Rattus norvegicus: one gene and its partners. The protein of the gene in region 1 interacts with the protein of each later gene in a biochemical or structural test. Links are inferred from orthologs where the notes say so. Each region holds a gene or a part of one and is shown in the gene's direction. Other genes may lie near its edges.

The links.
Region 2: the proteins of Prkcz (region 1) and Ywhaz form a complex in vitro, tested with the Homo sapiens proteins (2 studies listed by BioGRID, with this or other methods). The link is inferred for Rattus norvegicus from reciprocal best matches to the Homo sapiens genes PRKCZ and YWHAZ.
Region 3: the proteins of Prkcz (region 1) and Pard6b form a complex in vitro, tested with the Homo sapiens proteins (2 studies listed by BioGRID). The link is inferred for Rattus norvegicus from reciprocal best matches to the Homo sapiens genes PRKCZ and PARD6B.

Annotation. Positions count from the first base shown.
Region 1 is NC_086023.1:171,111,114-171,116,109, reverse strand, and holds part of Prkcz (protein kinase C zeta type), read left to right. Parts: intron 1-1,529; coding exon 1,530-1,665; intron 1,666-1,876; coding exon 1,877-1,964; intron 1,965-4,996. UniProt on the Homo sapiens protein: Calcium- and diacylglycerol-independent serine/threonine-protein kinase that functions in phosphatidylinositol 3-kinase (PI3K) pathway and mitogen-activated protein (MAP) kinase cascade, and is involved in NF-kappa-B activation, mitogenic signaling, cell proliferation, cell polarity, inflammatory response and maintenance of long-term potentiation (LTP).
Region 2 is NC_086025.1:69,827,821-69,832,215, reverse strand, and holds part of Ywhaz (14-3-3 protein zeta/delta), read left to right. Parts: intron 1-1,294; coding exon 1,295-1,418; intron 1,419-2,030; coding exon 2,031-2,194; intron 2,195-2,275; coding exon 2,276-2,371; intron 2,372-4,395.
Region 3 is NC_086021.1:177,211,916-177,216,911, forward strand, and holds part of Pard6b (partitioning defective 6 homolog beta), read left to right. Parts: intron 1-3,582; coding exon 3,583-3,805; intron 3,806-4,996. UniProt on the Homo sapiens protein: Adapter protein involved in asymmetrical cell division and cell polarization processes. Probably involved in formation of epithelial tight junctions.

The DNA of each region.
Region 1 (4,996 bases):
GCAGAAGGTGGCAAAGTTGAGACCTTGCCGTGGTATAAGAAAATCCAAGGGGGCTGGAGAGATGGTTCAGAGGTTAAGAGCACCCAACTGCTCTTCCAGAGGTCCTGAGTTCAATTCCCAGCAACCACATGGTAGCTGGAAACCATCTGTAATGGGATCCTATGCCCTCTTCTGGTATACAGTGACCATGTAATCACATAATACAATAAATAAATAAACCTTTTTTAAAAAAAAAAAATAAAAGAAAATCCAAAGCCTCTGGGAGAATCTTTGGAGCTTTGCACCCAAGACCGGTCCCTCCCTAGACTTTCAGTGGAAGCCCCTCGCCCAAGAGACCAGGCTCCCGGCTGTCTTGTTTTCACAATTGTGACATCTGGCTTTGTCCTCTTCCCTGTAAAGTCCACATTCCCTCAGCGCTAGAATACAGAAGACCTTGACTAGCATCAGGAGAGAGTCCCCGGTTCCGTTTCTGGCCTTGAACAGCTGCCATCCAGCCCTCTGTCCTCAGCTTCTCGATGGCCCCTTCCTACTTAGTTTTCCCCGTATGAAGTCCTGTGAGTCACCGAGGCCACTTTTAGGGAAAGGGGGCAGAGACAGCAAATGACTTATTGCCATCTCACATTGGAATGCTGATTCCAAGGCTCCTCATCTCCATCCCTCCTGTCTGATCCCAGAGAGTGCCCTGAGTGGAATCTTGGATTATCTGTTTTCTTGTATATTTGACTTGGCATGATGTCATCTTCCTGACCCGCCATGTGGCCTGTTGGAAACCCTTTCCTTTCAAAGGTTGGGTAATATTCCGTTGCACCGAGGGCCTACTCTCTCCCCATCCCCATTCCTATTCCCTTTCTTCCTCTTCAGTGGGATTTACTGTGTGACCCAGACCCGCCTCAAACCTGCAACCATGAGCCACTCTGCCCTACCCGTGCTCCCTTTATCCACTACTTCCCCGTTTTAGCTTTTATGAATAAGATTGCTACAGGCATAGGCGTTCAACATGGCTTGAGACCCCACTTCCATTTTTTTTCCCCTTCGGTTTTTAAAACATGCATACAGGGTAATGGATATCATGGTGGCATTTCCTCATACTACTGGGCCTCCTCTGCTGTCTCCAGCCTCAGGCATGCGTGCATTAGTGTGATTTTTCGTTTTTCATTCTTATTTGCTTGTTTGTCCTGGTACTTATGTAAGTGAGGCAGGAGCTTTCCCACTGAGCTGCACACAACCCTAGATTTTCATTCTTATTTGCTTGTTTGTCCTGGTACTTATGTAAGTGAGGCAGGAGCTTTCCCACTGAGCTGCACACAACCCTAGATTTCATGTTCTGAGGGTTTCATTCCCACCAACCACACACGGGGCGTCCAGGGTCCCGAGTTCTCTTCACTTACTCTGGCTGTGGTGGGCAGGAAGTGGCTCTCACTACAATCTACACTCGCATCTCCCCAGTGAGGACCAGGATACCTCACGGGGCTCCTGTCTGGCTGCCTGCCATTGTCCCTCTACTGACTACAGAATGCCTCCCACCTCAGGTTCTATGCTGCTGAGATCTGTATCGCTCTCAACTTCCTACATGAGAGAGGGATCATCTACCGGGACCTAAAACTGGACAACGTCCTCCTCGATGCCGATGGACACATTAAGCTGACGGACTACGGCATGTGCAAGGTGCCCACCTTGTCTGTCCCCCCCAGCTCGATTGCCTGTGTGTGCCCTTGGCATCCTGCAGAAGTATTCCCTGCCGAGGCATTAGCTCAGTGGTGGCCATACTGAGGCACCCAGGCCTGTAACTCTATGTCAGTTTTCTGGTTGACAGTGGAGAATCACTGGAGAGCTACTCCGTGTGAGATTCACCCTCCTGGTCACTCTGTCCCCACAGGAAGGCCTAGGCCCCGGCGACACAACAAGCACTTTTTGTGGAACCCCGAACTATATCGCCCCCGAAATCCTGCGAGGAGAAGAGTACGGTGAGTGTGATCCAGAAGTCTCCCCGGCTGGTGACTTCACTCAGAGCGGGAACCCAGATGATTATCCCCTGCATACCTTCTGAGGCCTACCAGATGACAAATAACATTCCTCTCCCTGAGGAGTCCCTAAGGCCGGGGAGGAGAAAGGGGAACAGGAAGCAAAGACAAGCAGACCCAGGGTGGGGTCACAGCACCCTAAGCTGATAGCCACTGGCCATGCATATGTGGAAGAAACAAAGCGCCCTTGGGAATGGCAGAAGTGCCCTCGTCAGGATCCAGATCGAGGGGACCCCGTAGACATGACGGTGTACTTCCACTCCTCCTCTGGGTGGAAACAGTCACATGCACCTGGGGTGGGGCATACATATACAGGTACATGTACATGCATGTAATGGAGGAGGGTATGTAGCATGCAGTGTGTGTCCTGCTGTGCAGGTGGGATTACAGGCATGAGCTGTCTATCCCTGACTCGTGACGGTGACTTCGGCGAAACCGGTCATAAATACACCATCACATAAATGAGTGTGTGGCAGGCAGCGTGTGTGGGTCACCGATCCAAGAGAGTGACTGGGTTCCTGGAAGCTGCTTCACTTGAAGTTGCTCAGTAACCAGAGAAGGAAAGACTAGAGCCAGAAATCAGTCTAGAACACGACAGGGTTCTAACTGACCCTATTTCTGTGTGTGCTGGAGCAGGGGGGACTGTTTCAGAGATGGTAGGGATGGCCAGGCAGAGCTGAAGGCTAATCCCCCTGCTGCCTAAAAAACCTTAGCATTTGAACATTAGAAAAAGAAAGGAAGGGGTTGGGGATTTAGCTCAGTGGTAGAGCGCTTGCCTAGCAAGCGCAAGGCCCTGGGTTCGGTCCCCAGCTCCGAAAAAAAAAAAAAAAAAGAAAGGAAGGAAGGCAGGCAGGCAGGCAGGGAGGGAGGGAGGGAAGGAGGGAGGGAGGAAGGAAGGAAGGGGAGGAGGAAGGCAGGCAGGAAGGAAGGGAGGAAGGAAGAGGGGGAGGAAGGCAGGCAGGAAGGAAGGAAGGAAGGAAGAGGGGGAGGAAGGCAGGCAGGAAGGAAGGAAGAGGGGGAGGAAGGCAGGCAGGAAGGAAGGAAGGAAGAGGGGGAGGAAGGCAGGCAGGGAGGGAGGGAGGGAAGGAGGGAGGAAGGAAGGAAGGAAGGAAGGAAGGAAGGAAGGAAGGAAGGGGAGGAGGAAGGCAGGCAGGAAGGGAGGAAGGAAGGAAGAGGGGGAGGAAGGCAGGAAGGAAGGAAGGAAGGAAGAGGGGGAGGAAGGCAGGCAGGGAGGGAGGGAGGGAAGAAGGGAGGAAGGAAGGAAGGAAGGAAGGAAGGAAGGAAGGAAGGAAGGAAGGAAGGGGAGGAGGAAGGCAGGCAGGAAGGGAGGAAGGAAGGAAGAGGGGGAGGAAGGCAGGAAGGAAGGAAGAGGGGGAGGAAGGCAGGAAGGAAGGAAGGAAGGAAGAGGGGGAGGAAGGCAGGCAGGAAGGAAGGAAGAGGGGGAGGAAGGCAGGCAGGAAGGAAGGAAGAGGGGGAGGAAGGCAGGCAGGGAGGGAGGGAAGGAGGGAGGGAGGAAGGAAGGAAGGAAGGAAGGGGAGGAGGAAGGCAGGCAGGAAGGGAGGAAGGAAGGAAGAGGGGGAGGAAGGCAGGAAGGAAGGAAGGAAGAGGGGGAGGAAGGCAGGCAGGGAGGGAGGGAAGAAGGGAGGAAGGAAGGAAGGAAGGAAGGGGAGGAGGAAGGCAGGCAGGAAGGGAGGAAGGAAGGAAGAGGGGGAGGAAGGCAGGAAGGAAGGAAGGAAGAGGGGGAGGAAGGCAGGCAGGAAGGAAGGAAGGAAGAGGGGGAGGAAGGAAGGCAGGAAGGAAGGAAGGAAGAGGGGGAGGAAGGCAGGCAGGAAGGAAGGAAGAGGGGGAGGAAGGCAGGCAGGAAGGAAGGAAGGAAGAGGGGGAGGAAGGCAGGCAGGCAGGAAGGAAGGAAGAGGGGGAGGAAGGCAGGCAGGAAGGAAGGAAGGAAGAGGGGGAGGAAGGCAGGCAGGAAGGAAGGAAGAGGGGGAGGAAGGCAGGCAGGCAGGAAGGAAGGAAGAGGGGGAGGAAGGCAGGCAGGAAGGAAGAGGGGGAGGAAGGCAGGCAGGCAGGAAGGAAGGAAGAGGGGGAGGAAGGCAGGCAGGCAGGAAGGAAGGAAGAGGGGGAGGAAGGCAGGCAGGAAGGAAGAGGGGGAGGAAGGCAGGCAGGCAGGAAGGAAGGAAGAGGGGGAGGAAGGCGGGGAGGAAGGCAGGAAGGAAGGAAGGAAGAGGGGGAGGAAGGAAGGCAGGAAGGAAGGAAGGAAGAGGGGGAGGAAGGCAGGCAGGAAGGAAGGAAGAGGGGGAGGAAGGCAGGCAGGAAGGAAGGAAGGAAGAGGGGGAGGAAGGCAGGCAGGCAGGAAGGAAGGAAGAGGGGGAGGAAGGCAGGCAGGAAGGAAGGAAGGAAGAGGGGGAGGAAGGCAGGCAGGCAGGAAGGAAGGAAGAGGGGGAGGAAGGCAGGCAGGCAGGCAGGCAGTGTTGGCCCATACTTTTAATCCCAGCATCAGGGAGCAGGGTCAGGCAGCTCTCGAGTTCAAGGCCAGCCTGGTCTATAGAGTTAGTTCCTGGACAACCAGGTCTACAAAAAGAAGCCCTGTCACAAAAAAAAACAAACAAACAAACAAACAAAGGGACTGGAGAGATGGCTCAGTAGTTAAGAGCACTGACTGCTTTTCCAGAGGTCCTGAGTTCAAATCCCACCAAATACATGGTGTCCTACAACCATCTGTAATAGGATCTGATGCCCTTTTCTAGTGTGTCTGAAGAGATTGACAGTGTACTTATATACACAAAATGAATAAATAAATCTAAAAAAGAAAGGAAAAAGTAGTGAATGAATAAAGAGGAAATTGTAGCAGTGTTTTCTCATCTCAAAGGGGTTCTGTGAGTTCTTTGTGTTTTGGCAGTGGGGGTGAAACATGTGCTTTGCACATGTGAACAAAGTTCTCTACCACTGAGCCACATTCCTCAGTGAGAGGCAGG
Region 2 (4,395 bases), on another chromosome or scaffold:
AGTGAGTCACTTCAGTGTTGAGGCTGAGGGATTGCTGTTGGGTCTGTTCCTGCAATCTTCAGTAAGGTGGGGGGGTTGGTTTGGTTTGGTTTTTCAGAGGTCTCTGTAGCTCTGATTGTCCTGACACTTGGCTCTAGCTACACTCACCTGGAGCTCACGAACTGGCTCCTCTGCTTCTCCAGTGCTAGATTAAAGATGTGTGGCCACAGCCCTGCTCAGCGTGGTTTCTAGGAATACAGAAATTACTGATAAAAAGTAGGTTGCTAATTCCCACTAACATTTATCAATACTGCCTAAAGGAGTTTCTGTCATAACTTTAGGTTTTTACATTGCACCCTCCACACACTCAAGTTGATTCTGTGGCTTTGCTGGGCCAGTGCAAGGTCACTGAGACACGTTTCTAGCCCTTTGGGTAGTGTGTTATTGTTGGGGGGGGGTTGTTTTTAGAGGCAGGGTCTCTCCATGAGTAGTACAATCTATGCTTGAACTCAGAATGCTTCTGTGTTGCCTTTAAGTGATGAGATTACAAAGGTGCCCACGCCAGCTGCCAATCATGTACTTTATGAGGGGTGGTCACTCAGTTAACTGTATCTTTATGACCTGTCTACATTCATAGAGTAGGCAGCAGGATTCAAGTGTATTCACTTATGTCCCCCATCATTAGATAATAGATACTCAAATCTTTTCAGAGAATAAAAACCAGAATCTAAGTACTCTTGGAAGAATTGGCTCATCTGGGGTTCAGCCCAGATGAGCAGGAACATCACCTTGATTTCAAAGCAGAGGTATCCAAGGGAGTGGGTATGGTAAGAGACTGGTTTGTTTTTAAATTCACTCAGTTCTACCTTTTTCTCTCCAATGCAGTTACATCATCTACTTGAAATTAGCTATAAAAGGTTGGTTTTATTTGGTGTGTGACAATTCCAGTAAGCTTTAAGTTGTTAATAGTTTTAAGCAAAGCTACAGGATGAAATTTTACCATTTGTGATGATCTGTAGATAAGACCAATTGCTATGCTGAAATTAACAAGTGTTTTTTTTTCATCTGGCCTTTCCCTGCCTTGAGTTGCTTATTGATTTACTACACTTTTGAGACAGCATTGGTTTGCAGTCGAGCTTGGTCCTCATCCACCACAGTCCTCCTGCACCAGCACTCTAGAATGCTGTGCTGTTAGAAAAACTAAGGTTTTGTTTTGAAATCTTTTACAACTGAGTCTATAGTGTTTGCTTAAGAAAAATACTTTACTTTGATTTGTAAGTATTGTCTTAATATTTCTGTTTCTTTTCTTCTGAAGTCTCTTTTGGAAAAGTTCTTGATCCCCAATGCTTCGCAGCCAGAAAGCAAAGTCTTCTATTTGAAAATGAAGGGTGACTACTACCGCTACTTGGCTGAGGTTGCTGCTGGTGATGACAAGAAAGGTGAGCTGGTTTTGCTTGGTTGAGCTTATATACATCTTCTTTTCTGTTATGTTACTTAGAGAACTGAGCACTCTTTCTTTTTGTCTTGTGTTTTTGCCTGTTAGTATTTTGAACTTGAAGCTTTCTGAAAAGCTGTTTGTATAAGAATGTCTCCTCGATGTTAACAGAGGTTAACCTCAGAGTAGAATGAGGAAATCACAAGATGGTGATCAGATGGATGTGTGTATGAGTGTTTGCCTGCATGTGTTTGGGCACATGTGTCCGATACTGTTGTAGGTCAGAGCAGCGCGATTGGATCCCCCGGAATTGCAGTTACAGACTGTTGTAAGCTGTCCCTAGGGTGCTGGGAATCAAACCAGACTGGGAAAAGTAGCCAGTGTTCTTTGCCTCAGAGTTATCATTTCAACTCAGCTCCACTCTGAGTTGCTTTTCTCTTGACAACAGCGAGTGACTAGTGTGATCCAGGACAGCATTGTTTGTTTTAAAGAGTATAATTTGGATAAGACTGTCAGAGCGTATATTTCAGAGGACACATGCAATCTTAAATGAAAAGTTTGGCTTAAGCTGCAGCATAGAATTTGAAAGTCCATTTCACTGTGTTGCATTATCTAGGAATTGTGGACCAGTCACAGCAAGCATACCAAGAAGCATTTGAAATCAGCAAAAAGGAGATGCAGCCGACACACCCCATCAGACTGGGTCTGGCCCTCAACTTCTCTGTGTTCTACTATGAGATCCTGAACTCCCCAGAGAAAGCCTGCTCTCTTGCAAAAACAGTATGTATTTTACCTGTTACTTGGGAATTGGGCAGTGTTCATTATTTGAATTCTAAGGTGTACTTTGTTTTGCATTTGTAGGCTTTTGATGAAGCCATTGCTGAACTTGATACATTAAGTGAAGAGTCGTACAAAGACAGCACGCTAATAATGCAGTTACTGAGAGACAACTTGACAGTGAGTACCTAAGACAGTCTGAAGGGTGTGGCCAGATAACTGAATATAGCGTCCTATCTACTGTTTACAAGCTTACCAAGAAGAAAACTACCTTATTGAGAACATTGCCAGTACTTATGAGAGATAGATACCTTTTGGGCTTAACTTATCCTAAGTTACTCCTTTCTGTTTCAAGTCTTGAGTAGTTTCATTTTTTTCACCCCAGAGTCAGTCATGTGCTTACTCAGCAGAAGTATCCAGGTTTCTTGTGGTGGAGGAAGAATCATGAGTTAGTTACAGGCTAGCCTGGACTACTTAGTGACAAGCTTGCCTAGGCTACATGACAAGATTCTATCTCCAAAAAACAAAAACCCAACAACAAAAAAAGTAAACTTGCTACTATTGGTGTCTAACTTGTCTTTGAAGTTGGTTTTCTTGTCCTTTAGTGTTGTGCATGTTTGGTGGGAACAAGTGCACCCCTTGCTTGCCTGGTCTCTAGCCCAGGGAAAGGTGGGGTTGATGCTCTGCTGTGCTGAAGGTTTGAACATGAACCCCATATATACCATTGTCTTAACCAAACTAAAACAACAGTTCTTGAAAATTCATTTAAATGGTTATTTATTATTTAAATAGGATCCCAATAAAGCCATGCTTATGGTTGGCTTCTTGGGTTTTTCCTTCTTCAGATGAGTAGTAATTTGAAGTTTTGAGGCTTGGGTGAAAAAGTTACCCAGCATTTGCTGTGTTTCGGGGAAAAGGTAGAAATGAGTGTCTCTGGTCTATGGGCTACTTTTCTGTGTGTGTTCAATTTGTCTAAGAGACTTGTCCATTCTTTATGTGTTTTACTTCCTGTTAAAGTCTGTAGCTAAAATTATTTTACTAACTCTAACTGGGGTTGTCTACAAACTTAAGAGACTTAAAAATAAGCAAGGGTTAATATGGAATTGACTTGCTGTGCATGCTGGAGGTGGGATTTGGGCCTTCTATACACTAGGTGAATACCACTGAGCTGCATCCTGCCCAAAGGAAAGAAAAGACGTCAAATATGAAGCACTTGATTCGTTAGCTAATTTCTAATTGTAAGAATATATGGGGGGGGGTGAGTGTAGCTGTTGGAAAAGTGCTTACCTGCGGTGTGTAAGACCTTGATTATGGTCCTCAGTAAGCTAAAAATTTATTTTACTTGCTGAGCATGGTGACACACAGCTGTTATTTTAGTTGGTGGGAAGCTTAGGCAGGAGAAATACAAATTCTAGGCAAAGCAAGAAGAAAACTAGCACTAAGTCTTACATGTTGTCTAGGCTTGCGTTGAAGTGATGAGGTGGTATTTAAAGTAGACCTTAGGCCTAGGTGTGTCACTACTTTTAGGGGCTCCTGATTGAATGCTCCTCTCATCCATTGGAATTATGGGGTGAGTGCAGGAAAGAGTGTCCTAAGCAGAGTGAGAAGGTCAAGGAGCAGCTCTGCCCTGAGCCTTGTTAGACTGCTGTTGACAGCGTGACACCCAGCTGACACAGCCAGTGCCTCACAAGAGACTATCCTGATTGTAGTGTGTAAGGTTTATACACAAAATGTAAAACCATTAAAGGACAAGGAGGGAACAGACAGGAGACTGTTGTCCTATTCGTAAGCACACAGTCTGGAAGAAGATACCTGGCCAGCTATGTGTGACTTTGAGTCTGTTCTAGGCCAAGTGTGGAAGGTGATTTGGGGAGAATATATTAGGTTAGAGGGTAGATTCCTTTTTTCTCCTTTTTAAGTTTGGCTTAAAATATTTTACCTGGAAACAGTTGGGACTATTTAGAACTGTATTAGCTTATTGAAACACTATAACAGTAATGAGAAGTTAATAATGAAAACCATAATCCTGCCATCCTACGACACCTTTCTTCTTTTTGGTAGAATATTTGCTTCTGTCCATAACATTTGTTAGGTTTGTTTTGGGTCTGGGACATTGTCAGGAGAGGCCAGCTCACCCAGCTCCAAGAGTGAGATCTTTCTGGAAAACACTCTAAAAACCATTGGCATTAGAGCTTTGGTTTTAC
Region 3 (4,996 bases), on another chromosome or scaffold:
TGCTAACGAATGACAGACAGCAAAGGCCTGCTTTGTGAGGTTTTGAGATGTTTTATTTTTCTGTGTAGCCCTGACTGTCCTGAAATGTGTGTGTGTGCATGAGTGCAGGTGCCTACGGAGTCCAGAAGAGGGCGTCGACTCACTGGAGCTGAAGTTACATGTGCTTGGACACATGGTGGGAACTAAACTTGGGCCCTCTGGAAGAGCAGTGTGTGTTCTGTTGTTGTTGTTGTTGTTGTTGTTGTTGTTGTTGTTTTTAAGACAGAGTCCCTTGGCAGGAGAGACAGCTCAGTGGTTAAGAGGTCCAGAGTTCAAATCCCAGCAACACATGGTGGCTCACAACCATCTGTAATGGGATCTGATGCCCTCTTGTGTGTCTGAAGATGGCTACAGTGTACTTATAAATAACAAATAAATAAAAATTATTAAAAAAAAAAAAAAGACAGGGTCTCTCTCTACATAGCCCTGGCTGTTCTAGAACTCATGTAGACCAGGCTGGTCTCGAACTCACAGAGATCTCATTGCCTCCGCTGGGAGTAAAGGCATGTGTTGCTAGTCCTACCTAGCTCAGATTTGTAAAAATACTTTCATTTTGTGTTATGTAAATGGTAAAAGCTCATTTAGATTTTCATTACATTCTGGTCATTTACAGAGTATATGGAGAGTCACAGGTACCTCCGTGTAAGTGTAGGTCAGAGGGCAACTTTGGGAAGCTGATTCTCACCACCATGTGAGTTTTGGGTATTGGATTCAGGTTGTGAGCCTTGGCCACAAACACTTTTACCTACTGAACCAGCTGCTGGTCCAGTGTCAGTTCTATAATATCACAGTTACGTGATCCTAACTAGAACTGGCTAGTGTGCAGGTGGGTAGGATCTCCTTCACAGCAACAGTAGTGTCAGCCAGGGGTGGCCCATGCCTTTAACCCTAGCATGTGGACGCAGAGGCAGGAGGATCTCTGAGTTCCAGGCCAGCCTTGTCCACAGAGCAAGTTCCAGGTCTGCCAGGACTACACAGAGAAATCCCTGTCTATCTTGGACAACCAGAAAGAAAGAAAGAAACAATAGTGTCGACTTTATTATCTTTGCTCTGGGAAGGGAGACATGGTACAGATAGTAAGAATAATGGAGTGTAAATACGGGTCTAGTTAGAAGTGTGATACCAGCAACTGGGTGATAGCTTTCTTTGGTAACTGATTTAGCTTCCTGATTGTTTCCCCCGAAAGTTCTCCATAATCAGTGTGATATCCTTAGGTAACCTTGGTCTCAAGGACAGGGGCTATAGCTGCTACAGTGGAGCTTGACTGGCATACTCAGGCCTGGCAGCATCTCTGCCACAGCCAAGACACCTGCCCGCAGCCTCACAGTCTTGGGACATGCCTCGTCCTCTTTGCTACCCATGAGCAAATGCAATATTAACAGTGCTGCACACCCCACAGCCCCAGCTCTCACTGCAAGTCCCAGAGCAGCTAAAGCTCCTCAGGGGAGTCCAGCAAACAAACCACATTAGGGCTAGAGGAGAGCCTCAGTGGTTAAGAGCACAGACTGCTCTTCCAGAGGACCAGGGTCCATTCCCCTTCCCCCCAAAAAACCTAAGTTCTAGAATATGCTAGGAAACAGGCCAAGATTGGATTCCAAGCCAGAAAAATCACATGGCGAATAATTGTTGATTGGGTCCGTTTGATCTCTGTCTGATTTTCCTTCATGTCTTGAAAAGTTCTTACAGTCATACTTTGCTGCACGAAGTAACTCATCCGCACTTCATCGTTTGCCAGCCTTCTTGGGGGTTGGGGGCACAATCTACTGTCAATATCTAAGTGTTTAAGCCAGAGAAGAAAGTGTTCACAGAGAGCTTGCACCCAGAAGCTTTGGGGAAACCTAAAGGGTTAAGTCATTAGGTGTATTCCATTCAGATTGCAGGGGAGGGGGTGATAGCCTGGGATGAGTCAGCTTGCCCTGTGTGGACTGTGGCTGTGCTGTGAGACCCGCCTCCTGAAAATGGAGGAGAAACTGCCTCAGATAACATCGTAAGACTGACTGATATGAAGGGTGTTTCCTGGGTTTTATTTACTCTGAAGTGCGTAGGCGTGACTAACTTTTTGAGAACTTTAAATATGAGTCACCTGATTTTTCCTGACAAATGTTAGTGTTTATATCTCAGGTATGTGTTTTGGAAACTTTGAATTTGTTAAGAGTAAGAAGCGGCCAGTGGGGTTTTGTTGTAATGTCGAATGGGGAGCAGAAGAGCAGGGTCGGCCATAGGTAGAGAGAGGGCTGGACGGCTGGGTGTCCCGGGACTGCTGTTGGCCGAGAATACCGGTTGGGATAAGGGCCTTTCTCTGCCTGGCACCTGCTATTCCTGTGGAACATTCACGTTTCCTGACTAGCCTCAGAATTTATACAGAAAGAGAGTCTGGCAGTCAGACGTGTTTAGCAAACATTTACACTTTTTTCGTGGCTCTGGACCAAGAGCCTTGCACATGTGAAGTTCATACTCTACCACGAAGGTCCATCTCTAGCCTCAAACAAAGAAAGTTAACAATAGGATTTTAACTACCCCACCCCTTGGGTGAGCAAATGTCCCTCCCTTCCTACCCCCCCTCCTTTTTCCCTCTAGTGGCTGTGTACTACTATTTTGCCTGCCTGCATGCATGCATGTGCCCCATGTGTCCTGCTTGGTGTCCTTGGAGGTCAGAAGGGAGCCTCAGAGAGACACCTAGAGTGTTTGCGAGCCACCTTGTGGGTGCTGAGAACTGAACCCAGATCCTCGCAAGAGCAGCACGTGCCCTTGACTGCTGAGCCATCAGCCCAGCTCCTGGCATTTAACTGAGCATTTAATGTGCTGTGTACCCAGTGACTCGTAAGGAGGCTCTTTTTGAAGAGGGCAGATGAACCTTTCTTAGGTTCCCCGTTTGAGATCTTTTACCACACCAGTGGAGGAGCCTTAATGTGTGGCCTTGAGGGACCTGGAAGGTAAGTGGGAATGATGAGGGTGCTTCCTGCCTGCCCTGTGATCTCCTGCCTCCCTCAGGCGGTTAATCTCCTCACTCACTAATTGCTGAGCTTTTGAAGCAGGCCAGCCTCCTGGTCCCAGCACACAAACATGCTCCTTAACCAGACCAGGCAGGGTTTAAAGCTGGTGTGTTAATACGCTTTTTTCCTTCCCCACACAAACTTAGGCTTCTCTCCTGTCCTTAAGCAGTATAGTCCTTACATGATGACGTCACTCATGTCATACCAAGAAGCTCAAAGTCCTTTTGATACACTTAGATGTGACTCTTACAGCCCACGGAAAGATAAGTCATTTTATGGGGGTGTTACCGCCGTGGTAGGAAGTTAGGCCTGTGAATGCCTCCGGTGTCACCCAAGGTTGGAGCTGAGTTGATGCAGGGCTGTCCTGAGAGAACTGGCATGGGGATTGTAGCCATGCCTCCTGCACCTCTTTGCCTTCCGCTCCTGGCAGTGAGGTTCACCACGGGGCTTCTGTGGCCTCAGGTTCACAGAGATCCTCTTGCCTCTACCTCCCAAGCGGGACTAAAGGCGGCTAACTTTGTACCTTCTAATACGTTCTTTATGTTCGTAGTTCGGAGCTGAGTTTCGGCGGTTTTCTCTGGAAAGATCCAAGCCCGGAAAGTTTGAGGAGTTTTATGGACTGCTGCAACACGTTCACAAGATCCCCAACGTTGACGTGCTAGTGGGCTACGCAGACATCCACGGGGACTTGCTGCCCATAAACAATGATGACAACTACCACAAGGCCGTTTCCACTGCCAACCCACTGCTCAGGGTCTTTATACAGAAGAAGGGTGAGTGCCTTTGTAGGAGCACGCACTTCGGAGGGTGGGGAGCTTGCCTGTGACAGAGTGCCTGCCTCTTGTGCAAGTCTTACACCAGGTAGTACAGAAGCTAAAGCATTGTGTTGCCGGCTTAATTAACATCCACGCTTCCTGAATGTATGGGAGAAAATCTATGTGTGTGTGTGTTTTTTTTTAAGATTTATTTATTTTATATATGTGAGTACACCGTAGCTGTCTTCAGACACACCAGAAGAGGGCATCAGATCCCATTACAGATGGTTGTGAGCCACCATGTGGTTGCTGGGATTTGAACTCAGGACCTCTGGAAGAGCAGTCAGTGCTCTTAACCACTGAGCCATCTCTCCAGCCTGAAAATCTGTGTTTCTAACCACTATGGAGACAGAGACAGTCTTGTGGAGGTTAGAGGACAGCTTGTAGGGGGATAGGCAGCAGGTGCTTCGAGCTGCAAGACCATCTTGCCACTGGCCTTCCTTCTTAGAGCTTTATTTTTAAATTGTGTGTGCATGTACGAGAGTGTGTGTGTGTGTGTGTGTGTGTGTGTGTGTGCGAATGCAAGTATAAGTGTGTGTATATGAGAGAGTGTATGTGTATGTGTGAGAGTGAGTGTCTGTGAGAGAGTATGTGTGTGTGTTTTGTTCTGCACACATGGGTACAGTTGTTCTCAGAAGCCAGAGGTGTCAGGTCCTCTGGAACTGGTGTTGCAGGCATCGTGAGTGGTCTGTGGGTGCTGGGAATCAATCTGTGCATTCTGAAAGAACAAGCCACTACTCTTAACCACTGAGCCATCTTGCCAGTCCCCTCTTCTTAATTTTTTTTAAAAATCAAAATTATGAAATTAGTCCTCACTGTTGGACTGATGGGAAAGAGTGAGCTTGGCAGCCTTGACCCCCTCCGAGTCAGTGGAAGCAGACCGCTCACTCTCCCTCTCACTCTGTCTGGGGGACTGTGCTGCCTGCAACCACTTCCTGGACAACTGAGGGGGGCAGCCCCAGCTCTGAGTGGTACTCGGCAAAATCTTGTTTCTTTCCCATTTTAGAATATTGTTTTAATTCACAAAAACAGTCTAAATATAAACCTGGCTGGGATTGAGACGGGAAGGGAGATTCTGGGGGCTGTGGATATTGTCTCTCGGAAAGTGTCTTGAGTCCTAAAACCTAAGAGTGCCCTGCTGTGTGTGTG